Linked DNA regions of Rattus norvegicus. The protein of the gene in region 5 binds, or shares a complex with, the protein of the main gene of each other region. Links are inferred from orthologs where the notes say so. Each region holds a gene or a part of one and is shown on either strand. Other genes may lie near its edges. The genes, in order: Srrm1, Scnm1, Srrm2, Snip1, Plrg1, Cwc27 and Snrpd3.

Region 1 (3,500 bases), on a different chromosome or scaffold from region 5:
GAGGCAGTTCTCCTCTTTGGAGGTGGGGAAGGAGAGTATCTCCTCTGGATGGGAGGAGAGTATCTTCTTGGAGACGGTGAGCGGCGGCGTGGGGGAGGAGAAGGGGTCCTAGAAAAAAAACAACACAGCAATAAAGATGAAATGGACAGTATCCAAAATATTAAAACCGTTGTTGCTATTGCTGCTGCTGCTGTTGTTTGTGCACACCCACATCATGCATGTTAGGGCTGGTTGGGTTAGTGGCAGCAATTCTCCCCACCCACCTTTAGGATTATGGGATCACACTTAGAGCACTACAGTTTGATGGCAAGCACTTTCACCCACTGAGCCATCTTGCTAGTCAATCCAGAATCAGGAAAATTAACTAAAGAGTAACTAGCCATAACTATGCTGTAGGAGATATATTTCAAAGTAATACACACTCCACCATGAGTGACAAGAGGATACTGTGTTGTATTTAATGGAGAAAGTTGAAAATTTCAGAAACAATTAAAATTCATCAAACCAAGAAAATGTATACAATTATATAAAACAAAGTAGTGTTTCACAAGAGAACTTCACACTGTGTGTGGTAACTGTGTTGCCAGGCAATTGGTTAAAGCAAACCAGGCAATCAGGCAAAGCAGACTTGAGTTCTACTGTGACAGGAGCTGGAGAGATGGCCCCCACCCTGCACCCCCCACTTTGGTGTTTTTCAGACAAGAGTTTCTCTGTGTAGTCCTGGCTGTCATGGAACTTGCTCTGTAGACAAGGCTGTCCTCAAACTCAGAGAGGTCTGCCTGCCTGCAGTTGAGCATCTGTGCTGCCATTGCTTGGACAAGGCTCACCTCCAGAGAGCACTTGCTGACCTTGCACAGGGCCTGGCTTGGTGCTGAGCACTCATCCATGTGGTAGCTCACAAAACCTTGTGAATTCAAATTTAAGGGGGATCCAATGCCATTTTCTGGCTTTCATGGTCACCAGGTACACAGCGCACACACAGATATGTAGACAAAGCACTCTACAATAAACAAACTAAGAAGGTTGCATGCAATGGCACTGTTGTCTCCTTTGAACTAGCATCCTAGTTTTTTAGTGAAAAGCTTTCAACAGACTGCCAAGTCTTCTGTCTCAAAGGACCATTTTTAGTGTAAATTCACTGCCAGGCAAAGGTATTTCTTTTTTTTTCGGAGCTGGGGACCGAACCCAGGGCCTTGCGCTTGCCAGGCAAGCGCTCTACCACTGAGCTAAATCCCCAGCCCCGCAAAGGTATTTCTAAAAGCTCGAGCCAGCTTTTCTGTTCAAGGTGACAAAATCCTGTTATGTTCTATAAAAATTACCAAGTAATACAACATTTAGGAAAACTGCACAATTCGTGCTTGGATTTTCAACAAAAATTCCTGTTCAGATCTAGGTTTATAATAAGCCAATCTTCAGGCAAAGTGGTAAAACAGAACTGGATAGTTATTTAATAATTCTGGCTAGGCACAGTGGATCCAATTTGTAATCCCAATAGCTCGGAAGTAGCTCAGCCTCAAATCTGAGGTCTGTCTGCTATATTCACTAAAATTTTATTAAAGGAGAACAACTGCTGCCTAGGAAAAGATAATACCCCACTAACGGAAACAAAGGATCATTCTACAGTGAGTGCTTGCCATCAACCACACACACAAACAAATTTAGGCTGGTTCCAGACCAGGGCTGATCTTTCTGCCTCTGCCTCCTAAGAGCCAAGATTATGTTGGTGTGCTGACACACACAGCACCACATGATGTCATTTTCTGAAGGGCTCTAACCTCTTCCTTCATGGATTATCCTTTTGATTTGGGACTCCCAGCACCTGTCAGACTAGGGTTCTACATGACCAGCAGGAGCATTGATCATCGAGGCTTTGGAGCTGCGCACATTGCAACAGCTCAGTGCAATGGCCAACGTGCACTTAGATGGTTTCCAAAGACTCTTGTACTAAAGAGCTGACATTTCTCACTCCCTCACCCTGGATATCCATCTATTTTCTTCTCCCCTTGTTTGTTTGTTGGGCAAGGTTTAGCTTCTCTATACCCAGGCTGACCTCAAGTCAAAATTTCCCTGCCTCAGCCCTTCAAGAGTTTAGATTCTGAGCATAATACTCTTGGCTCCTATTCATTCTCTCTCTCTCATTCATTCATTCATTCATTCATTCATTCTCATATTCCCTCCTCCCGGCAAATCTCTGCAGGGTTTTTTTGTGTAGCCCTGGCTGTCCTTCCTTGAACTCCCTTTGTAGATCAGGGTGGACTTGAATGCAAAGACCTGCCTGCCTCTGCCTTCTGAGTGCTGGGATCAGAGGTTAGCATCACTGCTGCCCTGACCTATTTTCTGTTTCTACAGAGTTCTGTGACCCATAAAGGAGCTCACACTTATGTGACGCTTTACGACACACAATGCAATGTCTCTCACAAAGCAACTTCTATCACAAAGACCCAGAGTTACCATGAGTCAATTGGACACAGTACCTTCGTCGTGGTGGTGGGGTGGGAGATCTGCGCCGCCGAGGAGGTGGGGGAGGAGGGGGAGGAGGGGCTGGAGAAGGAGATCGTCGTCTTCTGGCAGGAGGTGGGGAAGGACTTCTCCTCCTTCTACTACTAAACAAGAAATTAGAATTATCCTCAGTCGGTGACATTCATAATTTAAATCCCTCCAGGAAGCATATTTCCAGTGGTTAACTAACCCAGAGCATAAACTTATTTATGTTTTGCTTTTGGTATGAGTAAAAGACAGCTTTGTGATGTTAGCTTCAGGCAAAAACACACATTTGGTTATGACATAAACCACCCAACAGAGGGAGGAAAAGAAAATAAAAAAACTGACACTAGAACATTTATTTTAGTTGGGACACAAATAATAATCAGTTGGGAAACTTAGCCGAGATTTTTGTGAACCACTTGAGGGCTAAGTTCAGCCAAGCTGTGTTTTGAAAAGGTTTTTCAATTGACTTTGATTCTTCATGAGAAACACTTTGATGTAACAGACACCAAACTACTTAAGACACCAATCTGGAAGCCCTGGCTTAGAGCGGCCCCTCCTCCACAGCACAGAGACTGAGGGAAGCCCAGAGGGACTGCACACACTAGGTGACTGCTCTATCTCCAACCTTCACACTCTTATCGCTAAGAAAGATAAGTCCCATCACTGAAAACCGACTGGGCATTACACCCACCAATGCCCTAAAGACAAACCACAAACTTGTCTCAAGTACTAGAGCCACTCTGGGAGTAATGTGGTTAAAAGGACATTCAAGAACCAAATACGACAATTCTGAGTTCTACAATAAACCTCCGACACAAGCCACATACCAAGTGCCACATATTAACAAACTAGAAGCAACCTCACAAAAGACTTAAATGACAGTTAAGCCAGTTTGTCACCATTGACAAAGGAGAAAGGAGTCAATGCAAACGGTCCTTGGCTCCTTGTCCAGCCAGCGCTGACACTGTAAGCCCAGCTCAGTTTCTAAAGCTTACCACACTCTTCAGAACCCA
Region 2 (4,023 bases), about 15 Mb from region 5:
TGAGAAAAGCTGGGGCCAGAGAGATGGCTCAATGGTTAAGAGCACTGGCTATTGTTCTTCCAGAGGACCTGGGTTCAATTCCCAGCACCCACATGGCAACACACAAGTATCTTAAACTTCACCTTTGACATCCTCTCACAGACATACATACAGTAAAAACACCAATGCACATAAAATAAAAAATAAAAGGGAAAAAAGGAATTTAAGGAAAAACTAGCTTAATAGTTTGTAATGACTATTCCTGGTTGTCAAGTTGAGAATGTCCGGAATGAACTACAATCCAGAATTGGAGGGCACATCTGTGATCCAGATCTTGAGGTTGGAAGACACAAGTATCTGATCTGGATATTGGCATGGAGATCTTGAGCCACAGTGGCCATGAAAAGCTTAGGCCCAGGCAAGGTAGTACAGGCATTTAATCCCAGGAGACGGGCCAGGAGACCTCTGAGTTCAAGGTCAGCCTGGAACAAAGCAAGTCCCAGATCCAGGAGTGGTGGTCCACACCGTCATCTGAGCCACACCTTCTGTCGGAGGTCTACATAAGGACGTTGGAAGTAGGAAGACTCACTCTTCTTCACCTGCTTGCACTGACTTGCCAGCACATCTGTTGGAATCTACGTCCACAGCAGACCAGCTGAAACAACTAGCCTCATGGGACTGAGCAACTCCTAGGGTCTTGGACTTCCCATCCACAGCTACCCTTTTTTGGGATAGTTGGAATGTAGACTGTAAGTCACCACAATAAATTCCCTCACTATAGAGAGACATTCTATACATTCTGTGACTTTAGAGAACCTGACAAATACAGTTCTAAGTTTTTGTATTAAGACTTTCCAAAGCTAGGCATGGAACTGCTCACCTTCAATCCCAACATTTGAGGAGCAGAGACAGGCAGATCTCTGAATTTAGGCCAGCCTGGTCTAAATAGCAGGGTTCCAGGATAGCCAGGGCAACAAAGAGAGACCCTGTCTCAGTAACAAAGGAACAAAAAAGTGTACTACCATCCACCATTCCCTGCTAATGTTACTAGTTTTTTTTTTTTTTAAAGATTTATTTATTTATTATATATAAGTCTACTGTAGCTGTCTTTAGACACACCAGAAGGGGACATGAGATCTCATTACAGATGGTTGTGAGCCACCATGTGGTTGCTGGAATTTGAACTCAGGACCTCTGGAAGAGCAGTCAGTGTTCTTAACCACTAAGCCATCTCTCCAGCCCCCTCTTTTTATAAAAATGTATTTATTTATGCATTTTTAAATATGAGTGCTTTGTCTGTATGTACATCCTCACACCAGAAGAGGGCATCGGATCCCTTTATGGATGGTTGTGAGCCACTGTGTGGTTGCTGAGAATTGAACTCAGGACCTCTGAAGAGCCCCTTATGTTCCTAAACACTGAGTTCTCTCACCAACCCTTAATGTTACTATTTTTAAGTAGGATTATGCTACAATATTCCATTTCCTAAAGTTTTATTTTAAAATCATTAACTGTCATTAAAAAAAAATTTCCACAAGATTAGTATTTCTCAGAAGACAGTTTGCAGAGTAATAACTTTAAAGTCATCTATTTGCTTCTACCCTTTTCCACTCCTGGCTTTCTCATTCCACTGACCTGTGCTTCCTCCGGCAGCAGCTGTTATAGTGGGGAGCTCTGTGTAGAGCATTCTGGGTGATTATTCGAGTCTGGGTTAGCAAAGGAGCCTGACAATGAGAGAAGAGAGTGAGTCAAAGCTGTCAGAAGCAAATGGCCCCTCATGCCTGTTGCGTGCAGTATAGCCCCGTCTAAACAACACTGATGCCCTCACCTCAGTTTTGCTTTCTGTCTTCAGTTCGTTCTGCGGTCGTGGATTTTGCTCTGTTCCCTTGCCTGACTGCTTTTTTCCATAGAAAAGCTTCAGACCTAGGAAGAAGAAAAGCAAGGGAGAATGAAAAGATTTTGCCAAAATGTCAAGAGTTCATTCTCTATCTCCCGCCCTCCCTACTTCTCTTAACTTACTGGATAGATGCTTCTTGCCTGCACGGTGAGCTGTCAGCATGGCCAGGGTGTCCAGTACTGGTCGATGGGGGCAGATGGCACAAGCAAAGCTAGGGAAACAAGAAAAGTGAATTATAAGTGTGTGTGCGTGTGCGCGTGTGTTTTGTGTTCCAGCCTGCAGTCGCGGTGTACTTGCTATGGTGAGTAGATCCTACTTCTGTCATAGCACTCCTCCAACTCCCAGGTTTCCCAATCTCCACCCCTTCACTTCCAGCCAAAGAATACTATTATACTCCTGAACTCCTTAGTAACAAAAGTTTGTTGAGCCTCTGATCCCCGAATCCCCAGGCTTGATCCACTCTTCGCTCTCACCGTCCATCCCGCAGCATCAGCGCCTCATCCTCGGGGATGTAACTAGCTAGCAAGTCTCCAACTCTTCGTTTCTGCAGGAAGCAGGATAGAAGAAATGAATGAGAGGAACGGATGGATATTAAATAATACAGAGGAGTCAAATGGCACGGGGCCATGCAGATCATAGGGTAGAAAATGGGGTCACCTCTCAGTTCTGGTCCCCTAACACCCTCCCCTAGATGTCGCCAAAGCAACAAACCAAAGCAACAGGGCGGCTGAAGGTGATCAGGTGACTCTCACTAGGGCTTACTTTGAGCACATTGAGCTGACTCCAGTCGTCCCCTTCCCTCTTAAAAGACATCGCGACTATGAGAATATGATAAATTCTACGCCTACTTCGCTGCTCCTTTAGGCCACCGTAGGAAGAGTACACTATCGCCTTCTCTGCTTCCGGTTTCTTTCTGAGTCTGTACTTCCGGGGATGCTTTTCCACGCATGCATCGCGCAAGCCGGAAGACCCGCCTCCAGCGCCCTGAGGGGATCTGTATTTCCTATGATACTGCCTGGACGCTGTGCCTTTTGGGAAATGAAGTCTTTTGGTTATCTATTTTATTTTTTAATTTTTTTGGAGAGAACACCGCTCACCTGGACACAGGTCCTCGCATCTCGAAGGATCCAGGTGTTTGGAGACCCAAGATCCTGTACGTGGAGCCGGAATTTCAGGGTGGGACCCTCCTGAGGTGGAGGGAGGCTTCGGGGGATCTCAGTGGACTCTATATTGCAAACTTGTAGTCCTCAGGCTCGTCCTCCTCAGCCACAACCTACCTGGGGTGGGTTTTATTTGGAACAGAGAGGATGTGGGGGCTCCCGGCGTCCTGACTGTTGGATGTAGGGACACACTGAGGGAAGAGTGTTAATGAGGGTGTCTAGGGTTCAAAGGTCAGAGATCAGGCTTGCGAGGAGTTGGGGAGGGGGCGTCGAAAGTCCACGGGGTCAGCGACTGACAACTCAGGGAAGATATTTATGGGTAAGGGGCTTGAGGAAGAAGAAATGTAACCGGCCTGGAAGACTTCTTAAGATACGAACTGTAATTCCGAGCTCCGTAAGAAGCATCGAGAGGAGGAGGACGAATGTAGTCTCTCGAGAGTCGGGAGACTGAAGAGAAAAGAGAAAAAGAATTTTCTGAATATCCATTCTCTGGGTTCAGCCGTCACTGTTGGTCACTTAGCTGGGCTTTCCTCAGTTGTGACCCTAGATCTTGGAAGTGAGGAGATGGCTTCGCCCTCTAGACAGCCTCCCCTCGGAGGGTCAGGGCTGCTACGTGGGAGCCGTGCTCGTTCTTATGGAAGCCTGGTACAATCATCCTGCTCCCCAGTGAGGGAAAGACGCCTGGAGCATCAATTGGAGCCTGGAGACACCCTGGCTGGATTAGCACTCAAATACGGGGTGACGGTGAGTCTTCCAGGATTGAGGTAGTCCCCAGGAGAAAGTGGGTGGCCCGCTAAGCAACCACCTCTGACATTACCCAAATTATATTATGGCCTGTTTTTTTCTTATTTTGCTTTCACATCTTTGTGTAGTACTATTGGGCCAGATCTGCCCAGCTATCCCAGTGGGAGGAGCAGCTCCCGTGAAGGTGGGTGAGTGGGGGCGGGGCTTTCAGCCATTAACCAGACCTTGTGCCCCTATCAACTT
Region 3 (3,500 bases), on a different chromosome or scaffold from region 5:
GTGAAGAAGAAATCTCTCGACGGGACCCAGGAGCTGGTGTGGGTTTAAGACTTTCAGGAGAAGAGCTGGCATGCCGAGAAAGTTTGGTAGGTTGAGGGGATGGTGGGCAGCTCTCTGAGGAAGATGACTGGGGAGGTTTCTCAGGAGACTTAGGTGGTGAACAGCCCCGGGTTGGGGAAGCCTCAGATGAGGGGTTAACTGGCTCCTGACTGGACGGGATTGCTGCAAGGGGTCGTGGGGAGTCGCCATGTTGCTCAACAAGGAGCGGAGTGGGGGCAGGTAGTTCTGGCCCTGTGCTGCTCCTTTCCGGAGAGGGGCTAGGTCGAACTGCAGATTTCTAAGAGTGAAAAGAAAAGTGGGAATAGTAATAAAACACCAAAACTTCATTATTACCCGTAAGATATGAACAGTTTCTAATAAAAATTTACTCTACATACCTCTTATACCATACTGACTTTCCCTACCCATAGTTGCACTCAGTAACAAGATAACATGCAATGCTTAATAAAGAGTCCGTAAGATAGCTTAGTTGGCTACAAACCATTGGGCCCATTTAGTGGCAAAGAGAAAAACTTACTCTTCAAAGTTGTTCAATAACCCGTACATGTGCACCTGTCATGTGCACGCGCGCGCACACACACACAAATAAATGCATTTTTTTACAATGAGAAAATAAGGTAGCAGGGGGCAAAACCTGATTATATGCCTTATAGACAGATAGCCCTGTCTCCATTTTGCATGCTGGGATTACAGATGAGACACCAGGCCTCATACTTGCATACCAATTACTCGCCTGAGTCATTTCCCAGTTTTTTATTATCTTCCTTGTTAATTTTTTTTCACTCTGTGCACTGTTCTCTTAAATTTAGTCAATATCTTTTGATGAGTGTTTTGAATTCATCAGATAAATCCTCTCCATTGCATGCTTTTTCCTTTTCTTTTTTTTTTTTTTTTTTTTTTTTGGTTCTTTTTTTCGGAGCTGGGGACCGAACCCAGGGCCTTGCGCTTCCTAGGTAAGCGCTCTACCACTGAGCTAAATCCCCAGCCCCGCTTTTTCCTTTTCAAGGGAAGGAGTCTGGCAGTATGTGTGGGTTACAAATGAATACTACCACACCACCCAAAAAAGATATAATTAAACAAAAAGAGAAAGCACCTTGGGTGACAATAACTTTATACCTGAATATGGGGACTGACTTAAGTTAAAATATCAGAAATGGGCACAAGGTTTTAAAGAGTATGGTTTATGTCAAAATTTTCCAAGAGGGGCCTGGCATGACCATATATATGCATTTAATTCCAGTACTCCGGAGGCAGAGGCAGGTGGAACTCTGTGATTTCAAGGCCAGCCTGAACTATGTAGTGAATTGCAGCACAGCCAGGGCCTGTGTAAGACCCTGTCTCAAAAACAAAAATACTGACCAACAGCCAATGAGATGGCACTTGCAACATAAGCCTGCTAACCAGAGTTCAATCCACAGAACACATACATAAGTCCTCTGACCTCCAAGCACACATAACATACGCCTTCCCTTCATACATACACACAAAAATTAATTTACTAAGGTCTTACACAAATAAGGCCAAACCATAAAACCACCTTAATTACAGAAAACACCAAAGCATTATAGCAAGCAGCTAAGTTTTCTGAAATGATCAACTTGTAACTTATCTTTAAATAAGCCACAACATGGGAGATATTAAGTTACACTAATTACTGAATCTAGTAGAAACAATCAGCCACAGATCTAGAAGATATAAAACAGGAACTACTAAAAAGATAATTCCTTCATGTTTTTATGTTGGTGGCAACATGTCTAAGGATTGAAAAATTTAATAACTGATGACAAGCATAAAAAAGGAAATATATACTTTAATAAAGTTAAAATATTTTTAAAAAAATCTTTTGTTGGGCAGAGGCAAGATAACAAAAGAAAACATCATCCTTTATAGAGTGTCACAATTAGACAAACACATTGTGCCGCTCCTGTAGCTGTAAGGCGCATACCACCACCTTCAGAAGTTGACCCGTGGCAAATGTGGCTACTCTGCCAAGTGCAAGAGGAAGTTTAACTGGATTCAAGAATTAGAGACAAAGCACTACCGTGCCTAAAACTGTCATAGATTCAGACATGGATTCCTAGAAGGAATAACACATCAACCCAAGAGGGCCACTTTAGCTGTTGTAGCATCCAGTTCATCTTAAGGATTTTAATAGTCATAAAATAAATGTTCTGGTTTCAAAAAAAAATAAAACCTTTTGTATCGCTGTATGAATATAAACAAATTACTGATATAAAACCTACTAATATCCACTGAAGTTTTTCTGAAGACTTCACAATTTAGTAGGTCCTCTTAAGTACTTGCAGGTATGTAAAAGGACTTGGTAACTGAATGAGGAATCAAATATTTCTCAGCAGTTGTTTATAGAATATTTACAGATGGACATCATGCACCACTAAACTTATCCACATTGCTGAGTTCTAACCCAGAGAATTCTCCTTTCTCTCATTCTATCTTCTTTGAAAACTGTCCAAAAATCTTCATATTTGCTTATATTATCGGTATGCTTCTCTGAAACCACCACCCAACCCACTCACACACACACTTACTGCCTTCTATAGCTGCTTGCCAACCTTGATCTCTGAACCTGACCACAATCTAAAGGATAAGATTTCTTCTTAATAAGCTACTCTACACTATTTACAACACTTGCCCATTTAAGGTGCAACCCTGAGTAAAACCCTGCAACCCAACGAACTCAGAACATACCTCCTTCTTATCTTTGTCTTCATAAGGACTGCTAGATTGCTTTGTAGAGGGATCTGGGCTACTAGGCTGTTGTATGTTGGTGGCACCTGGTTCACTAGGTGCATCTACCTCCCCTTGATGCCCTGAAGCAAGGGGAGGACTTTGCCCAGTCAAGGATGTTGTATGAATTTTAGCAGCAGCACTTCGAGACCTGTGAGTTAATGAAGGGCAGGGGAGACCAGGAAAATCAGCTCAAGGAAGAACAGAAAACCCCCTCCACCCCCAGCTGGCAATCCACTTTCCTATATGTAAAACCTTCTTTCCAAAAACAAAAAACAAATGAAAACAAAAAACACAAAAAGCAAAACAAAAAACCAACAAAACAAACAAAAAACCTTTTTTGTCACATGAAAATTCATTTTCAAAGATGCAAATGAGTCCTCTTTTGTTGTTCTATCTCTTCCCAATATAATCCCAAATAATTTAAGTCCCTCTACCCCATTATTCCCCACCCTCCAACATACCCAAACCCTCCACCCAGGCCCTTCCCTACCCACTTCATTCATAACTCACCTCTGAGCCCACCTCCTTCAGGAAGCCTTCCCCGATTAAGGAAGCCAGGGTAAGGACTCCTTCCTCCCCCAGACACCACCAAACCACCCCCGCCCTATTCTGGTAGTCCATATACATCATAACAAACAAAAATAAAAATAAAATAAAATAAAAAAGACAAGGGGAAATGTATATGTCTG
Region 4 (2,487 bases), on a different chromosome or scaffold from region 5:
TTTTTAATTTCTCTTTCTTCCTATCATTTATTTGTTTGTTTAGAGATGGGGTCATGGAACATAACCCACACCTAGAGGAGGATATACACCACCAATCCTGCTTAGCCTCCCGAGAGCCAGGATTACAGGTCTACACTGCCACACAATGGTAGGCTAATATCTGGATTTCTGACATCACACTCAAGCCGCTCATACAAATGTCCGGAGATCACCCACAGGTTGTTAAGACTTACAGTACTCCTTCAGTCCAGCTCACTGGACCAGGGGTAATGGGTTCAGCAGCATTTCCACACAGCCAGTCAGCCTTAGGAAAGCTAAGTGAGATGTTCACCCATCTCCCTTTCCAGTCCTCCCTCTGGTCTACCTACCGGTACTGGAAGACTGCATGTTGCTTTGAGCAAGAGGGATGGTCGATAGGAATGTCCGCGATGCGGCGATGTCTCCCCAGCAGGTACGCACTCTGCCGATGGATGTACATGACTGGAAGCACCTCATCATTTTTAAAGGGGTAGAGACGCCACCGTTTTTTGGGGATGCGGGCTTCTGGGGGCTCACTGTATTTAATGACCACACCCCGGAAGGTATTAGTGTCCTCAAGAAGTGCCCCAGAAAGTTCAAAGCTTGGTTTTTCTTTAACAGGCACCTCTTTGTTCTTGTTACCAGCAGGGCGAGGGATCACCTCCTGAGCCTCAGCGCCAGCACTCTCATTCTGCTGGCGGTGCTCCCGGCGCCTGGCATTATTAAAGTCCCTCTCTTCTTCCTGGGCCTGCAGGATCTGGCTGTCTCTATCCCGACCCTGCCCACTGACAGGCCTCTCATCAGAGCTCCTCCTTTGGCGGGCATGGCCCCGGTGCCGATCTCGCTCGCTGTTCCGTGCTCTCCTGTGCTCCTGTTCTGATAACTCCCGGTGCTGCCTATCCTCTCGTCCTCTCCGTGGATGGTCCTCCCGTTCCTGAAATTCAGATGGGATTCAGTAAGGGAAAGATAGCATCCCTTTCTCTGTGAACAAGCTGCAGGAACTGGAGAGATAGTTCAGCAATTAAGAGCACTGACTGCTCTTCCAGAGGACCCATGTTTACTTCCCAACACCCACAAAGCTGTTCACAACCATCTACAACTACAGTTCCAAGAGAATCCAATGCCCTCTTGTGGTAAGTGTGGGCACTACATTATGTGGTGTACAGACATGCATATGCTAAACAATTTCAAACAACAACAGCACATCTGTGGCCTGGATTCAGAACAAATTCCTATCCACACAAGGCTATCAGTGTGGTTCTTTCCCCTGAAGGGCCTTTAGACTTCATATTCCATACTCTTCCTCAAACCCACATCCAGACCCTACCACAAGGAGAAATACCTCTCTCAATCACCTGCAGGCAAACTCACAGGGTAGCAGGTATAGAAAACAGAACAGTCACATGTAAGATATATAAAGGGAAAAGTTAACTTCCTCACAGGCCAAAAGGAGATTGAAATAATCTCAAAAGGTTCAACTTCAGCAATTACAGAAATGATTCAAACATCTATGGATAAACCTAAGAAACACGAACACTTCAAGAAACCTACAAGAAAGTACTACTTGGCAGTTTCCAAATTTCTAACAAAATGGAGGCACATACTGAAAATCAACGTCGCACAAACAGCAATACACAGTCAGTAGATCAATGAGCACAGTGGCGCACACCTTTAATCCCAGTACTCAGGAGGCGGAGGCAGAGCTCTTTGAGTTTGAGGCCAGCCTTGTGTACAGAGTTAGCCAGGGCTACACAGAGACCTTGTTTTGTAAAACAGCAGCAATAGATGGATAAGAAGTCAGTCAGTAAGGTGACAGCTCCAAGTGCAAAGCAGTTTCCAGAAGAAGCCAACACTTAGCCTGACTCTGAAGGGGAGCTTCTTCTAATAACCACAGTACCAATGCTAACAGAAGTAGGAATTCTCTCAGATTAGCAATTCCTGTCAAGAGAGAAGGGACTGCACACCTCTAATCCCAGCCCTCAGGAGTCAGAGGTGGGTGGGTCTCTAGAAGTTAAGAGAATGAGAATGAGACCCTGTCTCCAAAGGGACACACAGGCTTGCATGCACTCCTCTGGTGGAGTTCAGTTGATGGTACACCTTTAATATCAGCACTCAGGAGACTGAGGCAGGAGAATCATCAAGAGTTCTAGGCCTGCCTGTGCTACCAAGCAAGTTTCAGGCTAACTGGGCCTAATTAGCAGGAGATACCCTGTCTCAACTACAAAATCATGCTTTTCCCCCCTGGTTTATTAAGCAAGTCATCAGGATTCAGACATTTTGTAGCACGTGTCAGAATTTTCTTCCTTTTAAGGCTAATATTCCATCAATATGCATACACACATAATGGTAATGGGACTAGGATGCGGGGCTGGAAACAAGCACTTACTCTAAATTTTATCCCCAGCCCTTTTTACTTTTTTTTTTTTTTTTTTTTCCGGAGCTGGGGACCAAACCCAGGGCCTTGCGCTT
Region 5 (4,252 bases):
AGCCAGCACAGGGTTTTATTTTTAAAGATATGTCCATCTTACTCTTTTTGTTTGTTCTTTTGTTTTTTCCTCTGCGTAGTTCTGGTCCCAGCTGTCCTGGAACGCAGAAATCAGACTACCTCTGCCAGTACTGGGATTAAAGGCATGTGCCAACACCTCTGGGCTAGAATTCTTAACCAGCCAAAGATCCTGGATCTCTTCAAAAACAAGGAAATAGGAGGAGGGAGGCCATAGCAAACAAGAAGAACACAGGTTCCTATGTGAACAAGAAATCTGCCTACGATATATGTGATTTATGGATCTCATAACTAGATAATAGGGTCACTTAAGGTCCTTATTAAGCCAAGAAGGTAATTTTCACATGGGTGACATAATTCGAGAGTTATAAGAAAAGCAAAACCTAGTGTGGTTACCTCTAAGATGGCTGTTGTGAGCCTTGTCCATAAGTTGTGTTCAGGATGACTATCTAACAAGTTTAATGAGAGCTGTCTAGTAGTCATATTAACATAGATATGTTAAGGTCTTTCTAACATTTCCTTAGTGTTTTGTGATTTAAAATGTTCTTTTCTAGGTTATTAATATTTTCTTGCAAAGTATACAAACGTTGACCACTTTTACAGAAAATAAGATCCTTTGACTAAACTCACATTTAAATTTAGAAATGCCTACTTGTGGGCTAGCTACAAAGACGGCTCAGGAGTTAAGGCTCAAACTAAAAGGACGGAAATGACTGTTTTCAGGCTAAAAATGCGACCTTCATGTTTTCATGAATTAAAATATTTGAATTTGAGTGAATAATTATGAATTAAAATATTTGAATTTGAATGAGAGCACTGGCTCACATTGCTATACCTGCGCTACATTTTCACCCTTCTCAAAGTATTCGCAGTACTCTCTGAGGACGGGATCATTGAACTTAATCACAGTTCAGGAAGATGCACAATCAGTGAAAATGCCTTATTTAAGATCACAAATAGCAACTACATCAATATAGAAAACACTTGGAAACGATCGAACGTAAGCCACAGATTTTATCTGGGTGAAACACAAAACGTCAACAGTTTAGCATCAGGTCAAATAAAGTAAAAACAACTTAAGTTCCCAATGGTTTCTGAAAAACGGCTTGCTTAGAATCTCTAAGCAGCACTTAGCTTCCGGAAACAAGTACCTCCCCTAAACAGGGCTTTAAGGCCCGCGCTCCCTTCGCTCCGGCTGGAAGCTCCGCCCTCAGCCAGGGGACTCCGCCCAGTTCCGCCGAGACCCGCCCCTCCCCGCCCCAAACCCCGCCCAGTCCCGCCCAGCAGCTGCCTAGATCCTACTCTTCGCCACGAGTCTCCGCGCAACTCCGCCTAGCTTCCGCCCTCCACCGCTAGACTCCACCCCTCGACCCCTGCGCGGCGGGTTGCCAATACGCATGCGCGGTTGGCGTCACGTCCGGCGACAGGCCCCAATCTCCGGAAGGAGCGGCAGAATAGTGGCGGCGATTTCTGCGTCGAGCATTTGGAGTTTCTTCGCTGCTGAACGGGTAGACTAAACGGCGGCGACATGGTGGAGGTAAAGTAACGCTCGGGCACTCGGGAGTCGTTTGTCTTTGGAGCTTTGCCCACGGAAGTAGGATGAAAGTACTGGGAATCTGGGGAAGCGAACTGTAGCCAAAACTGGTGGTCTTGGGCTGTCGGGGTGGGAGGAAGGCCGATGACATCCCGAATCCGAGGTTCAGTCGGCGGGAAGCCTGAAGGAATCTTGCAGTCGGTGTGTTGTTGGCATCTGGCCCTTTCCTGGGAGGCGGGGCTTCTGATGCTCCCACCTTGGCTGGGATGCTAGTCCGTGCTGTCTTGTCAGTTTCACAGTTATTTCATCTCTACCCCATTAAAGCTTGCCGTGCTTGATTTTGTTTGTTCTTGCGTATCCCAAACGTTTCTTATTCCCACCCACTGCGTTCCAGATCCACTGCAGTCCTCCTAATCTAGCCCAACATCTTTTGCCTGGACGAATTCTATAGCTTCCAAGTGCTTACGATTAACGAACACATTGAAGGAATGTAGTTCAGTGCTGCTTTCTGTCCCAGTGTTAAATGTTGGTGATGGCAGAGGCCTAAACCCCACCGACCTTCGGAACCCACACTCCCGCAGCATTCACAACTGCTGCAGTTCTGAATTATATGAACGTCTTCGCAGTGGCATCTCCCAGAGCTTGCACTGTTTGAACCTCTATTCTTTGTAAGGCTGTCTCCCTCTCTGCTTACCTGTCACCAGAGAGAACCTTTCTTGATTATATCTAGCAATTCTTTTTTCCCCTCTGAGTCACCCCATCGAACCCTCCAAAATGTGGAATTATTTTGCTTATTTTTGTGTGTTGTCTCTTGAACTCTGACCAGACAGGAGCTTTCTCATCTTTGTTGTTGGCTGCTGTAGTTTGTCACAGTTACTGAGGAGTGTTAGCCTTTATGTATTTAGCATGTAAAGTGCGTAATGAATCTAATGTTGATTAGAGCGTATGGGTCTCTTCTAGCTAGATGTGTGATCTTGATTGTCTCTTTACAGGAGGTACAGAAGCATTCTGTGCACACACTAGTGTTCAGGTCATTGAAGAGGACCCATGACATGTTTGTGGCTGATAATGGAAAACCTGTGCCTTTGGATGAAGAGAGGTAAGTTCTATTCCTTTTCAGTTGCTAAAGTATTTTATATTGATAGAAGAGCGCAAAGTGACAGAGAGGAGGTGACTTTGAAAGGTCTTAAAAATGCAGACACAGGATACTTGGGCAGTAGCGAGTGTCTTTTCATCATAATACAAATAGCATTAACTCATTTTGCTTATTTTTGTGTGTTGTCTCTTGAGCTCTGGCCAGACAGACAATAACTCTTGTCTATTTTAAAAATCTAATTATAGTTTACAGATACCCAGTGTGATGATTTGAAAGAGAATGGCCTCCATAGTTTCATGTATTTAAATGCTTGGTCTCTGTTGGTGGAACTGTTTTGGAAGGGTTAGAGGAGGTGTGTCATTGGGGATAAGCTGTAAGATTTCAGAAACCTACACCATTCCCAGTTAGCTCCCCTATCTATTGCTCCTTTTCTCCCCCCCTCTTTCCTCCCTTACCTCCCTCCCTCCCCCAACAACCCCCACATCATGCTTGTGAATCAGACGTAAGCGCTCAGCTGCTGCTCCAATACCATGCTTGCCTGTCTGCTCTCATGCTCCCTACTCTGATGGTCAAGGACTCTAGCCTCTTAAACCATGACCCCCAAATTAATACTTTCTTCTCTAAATTACCTCAATTATGGTGTTTGCCACAGCAATAGAAAAGTAGCTAGTACCCAGTAATTAGGGGCATTCCTGTCACGTTATCGTATTTCTAGTGCATCACTTTGTGCATGCTTTTAGCTTCCTGCTCTCAGACTCTCGTTGTGCTGAAATTGTTCTTGGCCAGTATCTCTTCTCCCATCTGTGCTCCTTGGTACAGTGAAGACTTCTAAGTGGCATACTCTTGGTTCTCACCAATCCTAGTCTGGGATTGTGTTGTATGCAGTGCCTTTCTCTGTCCTTTGCTTTTTCTTTATAATCTACTTAATTCCCCTCATTTGCATTTATATTTAATTTTTAAGGTGGATTATCTTTTTAAGTAATATAAGTACATTTATCTTTAAAATGCAGAGCTAATTTAGTGCTTTCATTGGGTCTGACTTTTTAGATTACTAATAAAGGTGTCTATACAAATTTTACTATATTCAGACATTTAAAGGTTTTTTTTAAAAGATATATTAGTTTATGTATGTCTTTAATTTACTTGGACCCTTGAGACCTCATTGAAAAAGGTTTTGTGTTTATTCAGCTGCAAACTATGGTCCTGCTTTGGATTAAATGACTACTGTATGGTAGATTGTGAGGTAAAGTAAATACATATGGTATAGAAATACATTTTGAAATTTCATATTTGTTAAAATACTAGTTAACTTGAAAAACATCCTGGATCTGTGAGTTGGAATACAGTATCTCTTTCTGTACTTGTGTTCTGCTAACTGAATATTTTCATTGGTGATGTGTTTCTAATATTTAAGGATGCATTTCATGTTTATGATTTTTAAATAGTCACAAGCGGAAAATGGCAATCAAGCTTCGTAATGAGTATGGCCCTGTGCTGCATATGCCTACTTCAAAAGAGAATCTTAAGGAGAAGGGACCTCAAAACGCACCAGATTCATATCCTCATAAGCAGTATCCTGCCAATCAAGGTGAAAACCATGAGGTT
Region 6 (3,500 bases), about 130 Mb from region 5:
CAAATGGTTCCAACTCCTCTCTCCTTCAGACACATTTGAATCTTCCTCTCCCTAGAAGATAGCTTGTGGATATCCCACCCCACGCTCTATGCTGCCCCACCCTTGGGTGATCAGCATCCATTCATGTAGTAAATGGTAAGAACTGTTTACACAAGCTTGAGACAGGGAATTCTCGGTATAAGCATCACAATGCTGTGTCCGAGTTGAAACAAGATGTGTGGGCAGAGAAATCAGCATTTGGATAACATAAGGGTAAACTTTACACAGCCTACAAAACATTATTTCTACATTTATTTAGTGTGTATGTGTGTGTGTGAGTGTGTGTGTGTGTGTGAGTGTGTATGTGTGTGTATGTGAGTGTGTGAGTGTGTGTGTGTGAGTGTGTATGTGTGTGTGTGTGTATGTGAGTGTGTGAGTGTGTGTGTGTGTGTGTGTGTGTGTGTACATAAGTGCATACTTGCCACAGCTTGACTCTCCTTCTCTGTGGGCAGGGAAACTGAGCTCCTGTCCTTGGGCTCCAGAGCAAGCACCTTTACTACTGAGCTATCTCACTGGCCTTTCCTTCTGCTCCCAACATTGCTAGCTAGTAATAAAGGTACAGCCTTAAAAGAGGCTCTTCTGAAGCATGTGTAAAAAAGGAGTGCACTGTTATAAACATCTCCTCTATGAACTTCCCATATGCACACAGGATGCTCACTGATCACATCTAAACCTTTAACAAAATCAAGTTATTGCATTTGAGCTTAGGTCATGTGACAGACAGAAAAGGCAAAGCAGAAATTCACATGTAAGATTGCAATTCTGTAGGGAAATATACAAATCTATTTAGAAGTAAATATTCTGATAGTAAGAGAAATTATTTTCATTTAAAAAATTGCAATTATATTATATGTTTTGCTTAAAATAGTAATTTGTTTGTAGAACTCTGACCTATTTGTAACTTGTTCAAGCTGTATTTATACTAAAATGAATACTCACATCTTCTAAATCTCCTGTTGCATCATCTTTTTCACTACAAAAATAAGTAAAACAAATACATTTTAGCTTCAACATGAAACTAATAAAAGGATTTAATTATCTAAAGTGTAAACTAGTTTTCTGAAATTAATGATTTTTTTTCACCACAGCATTCTCTGAGTGGCATTGTAAAGCAGATGGGAACATGCTCGAATGGAGCCACCTTTTATAAACAGAGGAAGAAATATGCTGCTCTACTAGTAGATACAAGAATTCCTTCAATTTTTTTTTTAATTCAAATAACCACTAACAAGACTATTCAATCTACAGAAAACATCTTTTCTATAGCTTAAAAGATGCTGGCTAAAGAGACCAAGTCCTACAAATTAAAGGATATTTTAAAATACGATTTTTAAAGATGAATTAACCTCAGTACAACAGTATTTTATCTCTGTGTGAGACATGGGCCAATATTTTGTTGTAATGAATATATTTAATACCAATTCACCTCCCACCTCTCAAACAAAGGCAACGAAGACAATTAAGACAGATTGCTGTCAAGTCTGAAAGTTGTGAGAATTTGTACACAGCAGATGAGCCCAGAATGTGGTAACGTCTTCCAGTAACCTTATACTCTCATGGTCAGTCATGATACCAAACAAAACAACTCCGAAGACAGTTAGCACAGCAATATGGAACTAAACATGATATATTACAACGGAGTTTCCAGTAATCAGACTAGCCTGTGATTAATCACTTATCAAAATGTATTATTGCTTTGGCTGGGCTTAAGAAATGTAAGTTATGAGCTCTGATTTTTAACGAACCAAGTGAATGAGAAGAAGCCTAATAGCAGGAAGTCAGGTCATGGCTGCACTGCACTGACCTTTCGACGGCCGGGACAGAGCTGAGATGCGGATCGTCCTTCAGCAGGTCATGGCTGCTTTTACTTCTCCCCTTCATGCTCTGGGAAGGAAGGGACAAACAATAGAGCTGAGAGTAGGAAATGAAAGGTCTTCCGAAAAGATAAGTTAACAAATTCACATGAAATTAGGTGGGGACATAGTATGCTTAGTAAAGGATGAGTTTATGAATATAATCCTTCTATCAACTGAACATAGGATTTTTACTTATTTATGTTAATTAAGTTTTACTTATTTGTTTGTTTTATAAGGCACAGTCTCTCCATCTAGTTCTAGCCTAAGATGGCCTTGAGTCTTCTCTGCAGGGCAGACTGACCTAGAGCTCATGATCTTTCTCTGTCAGCATCTTGCAATGGGATTCTAAGTGTGCAGCACCACTCATGGATCTAAACACTCTTTTAGGATCATCTCCCCAGAATAAGTGACACTGTCAAAAAGAAGTCAGTGGCTTGGGGCTGGGGATTTAGCTCAGTGGTAGAGCGCTTACCTAGGAAGCGCAAGGCCCGGGGTTCGGTCCCCAGCTCCAAAAAAAAGAACCAAAAAAAAAAAAAAAAGAAGTCAGTGGCTCACCAGCTCTGAGTACCTATGGTTCACATACAACTGATTAACTTCGACAACCCACGGATAAAAACAAGAATAAATTGAGACAAATGCATACTACCACCCTTTAATATACAGTAATACACCACATCCAAAGTTAGCCTCTGACCCTCTGTGTCAACCTCTTCACTGACAAGACAGACAATGAAAATTACACTGACAAATAGTGGGAACAAGGTTGTAACTAAGGTCCACTGCAGGTGCATGTTATTTATTAATAATGCTAAATTTATAAAGATGAATTCTTGTGCTCCTGAGAAATCACAGAGATTTTATTTATTTATGTTTTTAATTATTTATTTTACGTATATCAATGTTTTGCCTGTTTGTATGTTTGTGTACCACAGCCTGGATCCCTCAAGGTCAGAACAGATCTCCTGGAACCAGAGTGACAGACAGCTGTGAACTGCCATGTGGCTGCTGGGAGCCGAAGCTGAGTCCTCTGAACCAGTGCTCTCAACCTCTGGGCCATCTCTCCAGCCCTACAGAAAGATGTCAAACGCTCTTACGACAGCGACAGCGTGCATGTGGTTTGTGAAGTGGGTGTATGTTAATTAGCTTAACTCAGACATTCTACTGTATTTACATAGGTTGTACACTATATATATAATTTTATATGCCAGTTTAAATATATTACTTTTTAAAAAAGAAAGTTCTTCCCAGTGTTACATGCTGTAATACTAACCTTCAAGACCAAAACAGGAAGATTGCATATCTGAGGCTAGTTGGGGCTATTTAGCAAGGCACTGTCTAAAAGTTAAAATTAAAAAAAGGACCCAAAAAAAAAAAAAAAAAAAGGAGGAGGAGGAAAAAGAAAAGAAGTCCTTGTTGAGCTCTCAATGAAAACTCACTTTAAACAGCTAAAAGAAAAAAGAAGTAAGACATGAAAACAGGAAGAATTTGTAAGTTAAGCTGAATTAATCATCCCCACTCTAGGTTTTCCTTAACCTTTCAAATTAAGTTAGCACGAAGACAGAAGGTCAAAAGCAGACTTAAACATACACCCCTTCCCACTACAGC
Region 7 (2,932 bases), on a different chromosome or scaffold from region 5:
ATGCTGTGTGTGTAGCTCAGGCTGGCCTCCCACTCACTCCATGTCTTCTGCCTCAGCCTCTTAAGTGCCGGGATTACAGGTATGAGGCACCACACCTTGCTTGAGATTTGGGATTTTATACTAAACTCTGTGATGGGACTGAGTAAGACAAAAAAGCTAACAGGGAACAAACAGTTCCATTCCCAAGGATTTCTCAAGCCTGGGGACGATCAGGACAGGATTAGCAGCAAGTGTGAAGAATGGTGCCATCAGACTCACCCTTTCCCCTAAAAGAAACAAGGTACGTAGTAATTCTAAAGCCAGCCGAGGGAAGGTACCTACCTTGGGCCTTCAGGATAGCAGCTTTTCCTCGGCCAGCCCCTGAGCCTTGGTTTTTATTTTTCATGCTCTTTAACATGGGTGCATTTTTCAGCATGTCAGGCAAAATCAGAAACCGGATCTTGCTGCCACGTATGTACACCTGTTCCAGCTGTGCCACTCGGCCGTCTCTGTATGTGACTGTGATGTTGGACATCTGGAAGGGAATCACCATTTTATTTGCAAGGTCAAAGCATTGGAGCACACAAAGCCAGCGAGCCTTAACTGGAGAAGTTTAGAAACACAGAAGCCCACACCAGCAGGAAGGAGTAGACAATGCTGTAAACTACCCTAGCAATGGCTGGCACCTTCTGTAGGCGTTAGGGACTGCACACTTCACACAAACGGCAGATGAAGTATGGGCTCTCCCATTTTATAGACTACAATCAAACAAACCCAGGATAGACCACTGACACGCTGCAGCTCAGACACAGAGCCCCAGCTTGCATCCGCCTGGGCCAGGTTGTTGAGTGACAGGTGTGCAGCCTCCTGGACCTGCTGGCACTCCAGCTGGAAAGGCACCTTCAGGGTCATCATAGGCAGCAGACATAGTTCTGACTCAGCACACATCAGGAAGACAGATGACTAGACAGGACTGAGGAGTGACAGGCAGTGCCTGCTCCCAGTCTGCACAAGGAGAGGAAGACCTGGGCAGGAGCTTTTGGCATGCGTGCACTGAAGCAGCACATCTGGCAGTCCTGAGCACACCTCAGAGAACGGCAGACCACTCAAGTCTGTGGAAGGAGAAATGCTCAACAGGCAGTATTTTGGGAGGACAAATGTGCCCACGTGTGTTGCGTAGGATGAAGGAAGGAGGGATCTCTGAGTCCAGTCAGGAGACCCACAGGGAACAGGACAGTGACATAATCCTGCCAGCACCAAATCCAGCCACGCCATGTTTACCATAATTGCCGAATTGCTATCGGGTAGGCAGAAAGGAGTAGACTTTATCTAGAGTGGGTGAAGCCCATGCTGCAAGGATGTGCTGGCTCCCAGATTCCTTCCTTATGAGATTTAAATCATGGGTAGTCTTACTGTACATTGGACATATTTCCCTACCTGCTTCCCCTCCCCTTTCTTTTCTTACCTCTTCTCCCCACTGTTAGCCCCTTATTCTCCAATAACTCAACTTCTACTTTCATTTTCTATATACACACATAATTTTATGAGTATAAAACCTAGGAACCACATATGAGAGAAAACAGCTATCTTTCTAAGACTGGATTAATCTGCTTAAAGATCATCTTCAGAGGCACCGTCTCCCAGGACCGGCTTCTATGCTGCTGCCTTTGCTCCTTCTAAAGGACCAGGTGGTTTCTGGTTGAACATGAAAACCAAAACCAAAATCCATCAACGCTCTGAGGCTGTCCCATTTTATCTGAGCAATGGGAATGGTGTCTAGGATTGCAAACCACCATTCCTGTTCTACATTCAAGGTCAAGAGGGCCCAGTTTCCCACCAACCAATTGCAGGCTTAAAAATTCTATCGCCAGCTCCTTGAGTCTCGGTTTCTGAGTCCTCGCCGCAGTGCCCGGGACAGGTACAGAATCTCTGCTACCACAAATAAGCAGCTATGGATTCGCTTCCTTACCCAACTGGAACCAGATTCCCCCATCCCATCCCCCAATTTCAGGCGTGTTTGTGACTCTGTAGAAGACACCGAGGTAGCATGAGGACCTCCACTGAGACCTGGGCTTGACACCTTCCAGATGTAACCCTGAGCACATCTTCAGAATGTTCTGAGTCCCAGCTCCCCACCTAGCGGAATCACAGCATAACGACAGCCAGTGTTTACTGGGTACGAATGTCAACAGCAGGCACTGCCCCAAATGGCTGAGTTTATACCATCAAACCCTACAGGAGGCACGGCCTGTCAGAGGCAGATCTATGCTGAAGGTCCACGCCTTTTCTCATCCTGTCCTCCTGCACAAAAATCACACTGTCTTCATGTGTTCTGTAAGTTCAAACCCAGGTCTATCTGACTCTGAACTACTTACTCCCTATCTTGAAGTGGAATATACTTTACTGGGGCTGTTAAAAAACAAAATTAAACAGGGCAAAGCATGTCTAAATGTTGTCTCGACTACCTAAGATATAACAAACCCAGTAATGTCTGATCTGAGTTACAAAGTCTATTTTTGAGATGTACAATTATTGTCTTATTTCCCACTCAGCATCTCCCCACTTGCCTTGAAAATCTCCACAAGGCTGTCATACAGATCCAACCAGACTTAAACTAGGTGCTTCTACTAATGTCCTATGTTGGGTTCTCAATGTCATCTGACAAACAATCCAGCAGCAAACTGTTACTGTTCTAATGCACTCCTGTCTGCTACTGGAGAAATGGTAACTCAGTCCCAGGGAAGGCCCGGTGTTGGCATCATAAAGCCAAAGGCATCATCTGTAAGCAATGTATTTATCTTAACTGCATCTAAAATACTTAAAGATTTATTTTATTTAAGTGTAGAGTGTGTGTGACTGCAGAAGCTGGAGACAGTGGGGCTAAGATCCCCTGAGTGCTAGGAACCCAACCCTGGTCCTCTGGGAAAGCAGCAAGTGCTTTAACTGCTGAGCC

Evidence for each region.
Region 1: Plrg1 (region 5) and Srrm1 share a complex: the UniProt entries of both Homo sapiens proteins name them as parts of the minor spliceosome. The link is inferred for Rattus norvegicus from reciprocal best matches to the Homo sapiens genes PLRG1 and SRRM1.
Region 2: Plrg1 (region 5) and Scnm1 share a complex: the UniProt entries of both Homo sapiens proteins name them as parts of the minor spliceosome. The link is inferred for Rattus norvegicus from reciprocal best matches to the Homo sapiens genes PLRG1 and SCNM1.
Region 3: Plrg1 (region 5) and Srrm2 share a complex: the UniProt entries of both Homo sapiens proteins name them as parts of the minor spliceosome. The link is inferred for Rattus norvegicus from reciprocal best matches to the Homo sapiens genes PLRG1 and SRRM2.
Region 4: Plrg1 (region 5) and Snip1 share a complex: the UniProt entries of both Homo sapiens proteins name them as parts of the minor spliceosome. The link is inferred for Rattus norvegicus from reciprocal best matches to the Homo sapiens genes PLRG1 and SNIP1.
Region 6: Plrg1 (region 5) and Cwc27 share a complex: the UniProt entries of both Homo sapiens proteins name them as parts of the minor spliceosome. The link is inferred for Rattus norvegicus from reciprocal best matches to the Homo sapiens genes PLRG1 and CWC27.
Region 7: Plrg1 (region 5) and Snrpd3 share a complex: the UniProt entries of both Homo sapiens proteins name them as parts of the minor spliceosome. The link is inferred for Rattus norvegicus from reciprocal best matches to the Homo sapiens genes PLRG1 and SNRPD3.

What each region holds. Positions count from the first base shown.
Region 1 is NC_086023.1:152,847,937-152,851,436, forward strand, and holds part of Srrm1 (serine/arginine repetitive matrix protein 1), read right to left. Parts: intron 2,604-3,500; coding exon 2,475-2,603; intron 109-2,474; coding exon 1-108. UniProt on the Homo sapiens protein: Part of pre- and post-splicing multiprotein mRNP complexes. As a component of the minor spliceosome, involved in the splicing of U12-type introns in pre-mRNAs. Involved in numerous pre-mRNA processing events.
Region 2 is NC_086020.1:185,391,023-185,395,045, forward strand, and holds the start of Scnm1 (sodium channel modifier 1), read right to left. Parts: upstream 2,801-4,023; 5' UTR 2,690-2,800; coding exon 2,639-2,689; intron 2,587-2,638; exon of another isoform or gene 2,534-2,586; intron 2,421-2,533; coding exon 2,350-2,420; intron 2,088-2,349; coding exon 1,999-2,087; intron 1,903-1,998; coding exon 1,808-1,902; intron 1,704-1,807; coding exon 1,615-1,703; intron 1-1,614. Other genes in the region: Lysmd1 (lysM and putative peptidoglycan-binding domain-containing protein 1), read left to right, coding at 3,601-3,780. UniProt on the Homo sapiens protein: As a component of the minor spliceosome, involved in the splicing of U12-type introns in pre-mRNAs. Plays a role in the regulation of primary cilia length and Hedgehog signaling.
Region 3 is NC_086028.1:13,340,559-13,344,058, reverse strand, and holds part of Srrm2 (serine/arginine repetitive matrix protein 2), read right to left. Parts: exon of another isoform or gene 2,960-3,500; coding exon 2,770-2,959; intron 338-2,769; coding exon 1-337. UniProt on the Homo sapiens protein: Required for pre-mRNA splicing as component of the spliceosome. As a component of the minor spliceosome, involved in the splicing of U12-type introns in pre-mRNAs.
Region 4 is NC_086023.1:142,616,028-142,618,514, reverse strand, and holds part of Snip1 (smad nuclear interacting protein 1), read right to left. Parts: intron 953-2,487; coding exon 369-952; intron 1-368. UniProt on the Homo sapiens protein: Required for pre-mRNA splicing as component of the spliceosome. As a component of the minor spliceosome, involved in the splicing of U12-type introns in pre-mRNAs. Down-regulates NF-kappa-B signaling by competing with RELA for CREBBP/EP300 binding.
Region 5 is NC_086020.1:170,704,736-170,708,987, forward strand, and holds the start of Plrg1 (pleiotropic regulator 1), read left to right. Parts: upstream 1-1,452; 5' UTR 1,453-1,545; coding exon 1,546-1,554; intron 1,555-2,543; coding exon 2,544-2,650; intron 2,651-4,092; coding exon 4,093-4,235; intron 4,236-4,252. UniProt on the Homo sapiens protein: Involved in pre-mRNA splicing as component of the spliceosome. Component of the PRP19-CDC5L complex that forms an integral part of the spliceosome and is required for activating pre-mRNA splicing.
Region 6 is NC_086020.1:37,685,339-37,688,838, forward strand, and holds part of Cwc27 (spliceosome-associated protein CWC27 homolog), read right to left. Parts: intron 1,924-3,500; coding exon 1,844-1,923; intron 1,013-1,843; coding exon 979-1,012; intron 1-978. UniProt on the Homo sapiens protein: As part of the spliceosome, plays a role in pre-mRNA splicing. Probable inactive PPIase with no peptidyl-prolyl cis-trans isomerase activity. As a component of the minor spliceosome, involved in the splicing of U12-type introns in pre-mRNAs.
Region 7 is NC_086038.1:13,131,989-13,134,920, forward strand, and holds part of Snrpd3 (small nuclear ribonucleoprotein Sm D3), read right to left. Parts: intron 515-2,932; coding exon 322-514; intron 1-321. UniProt on the Homo sapiens protein: Plays a role in pre-mRNA splicing as a core component of the spliceosomal U1, U2, U4 and U5 small nuclear ribonucleoproteins (snRNPs), the building blocks of the spliceosome.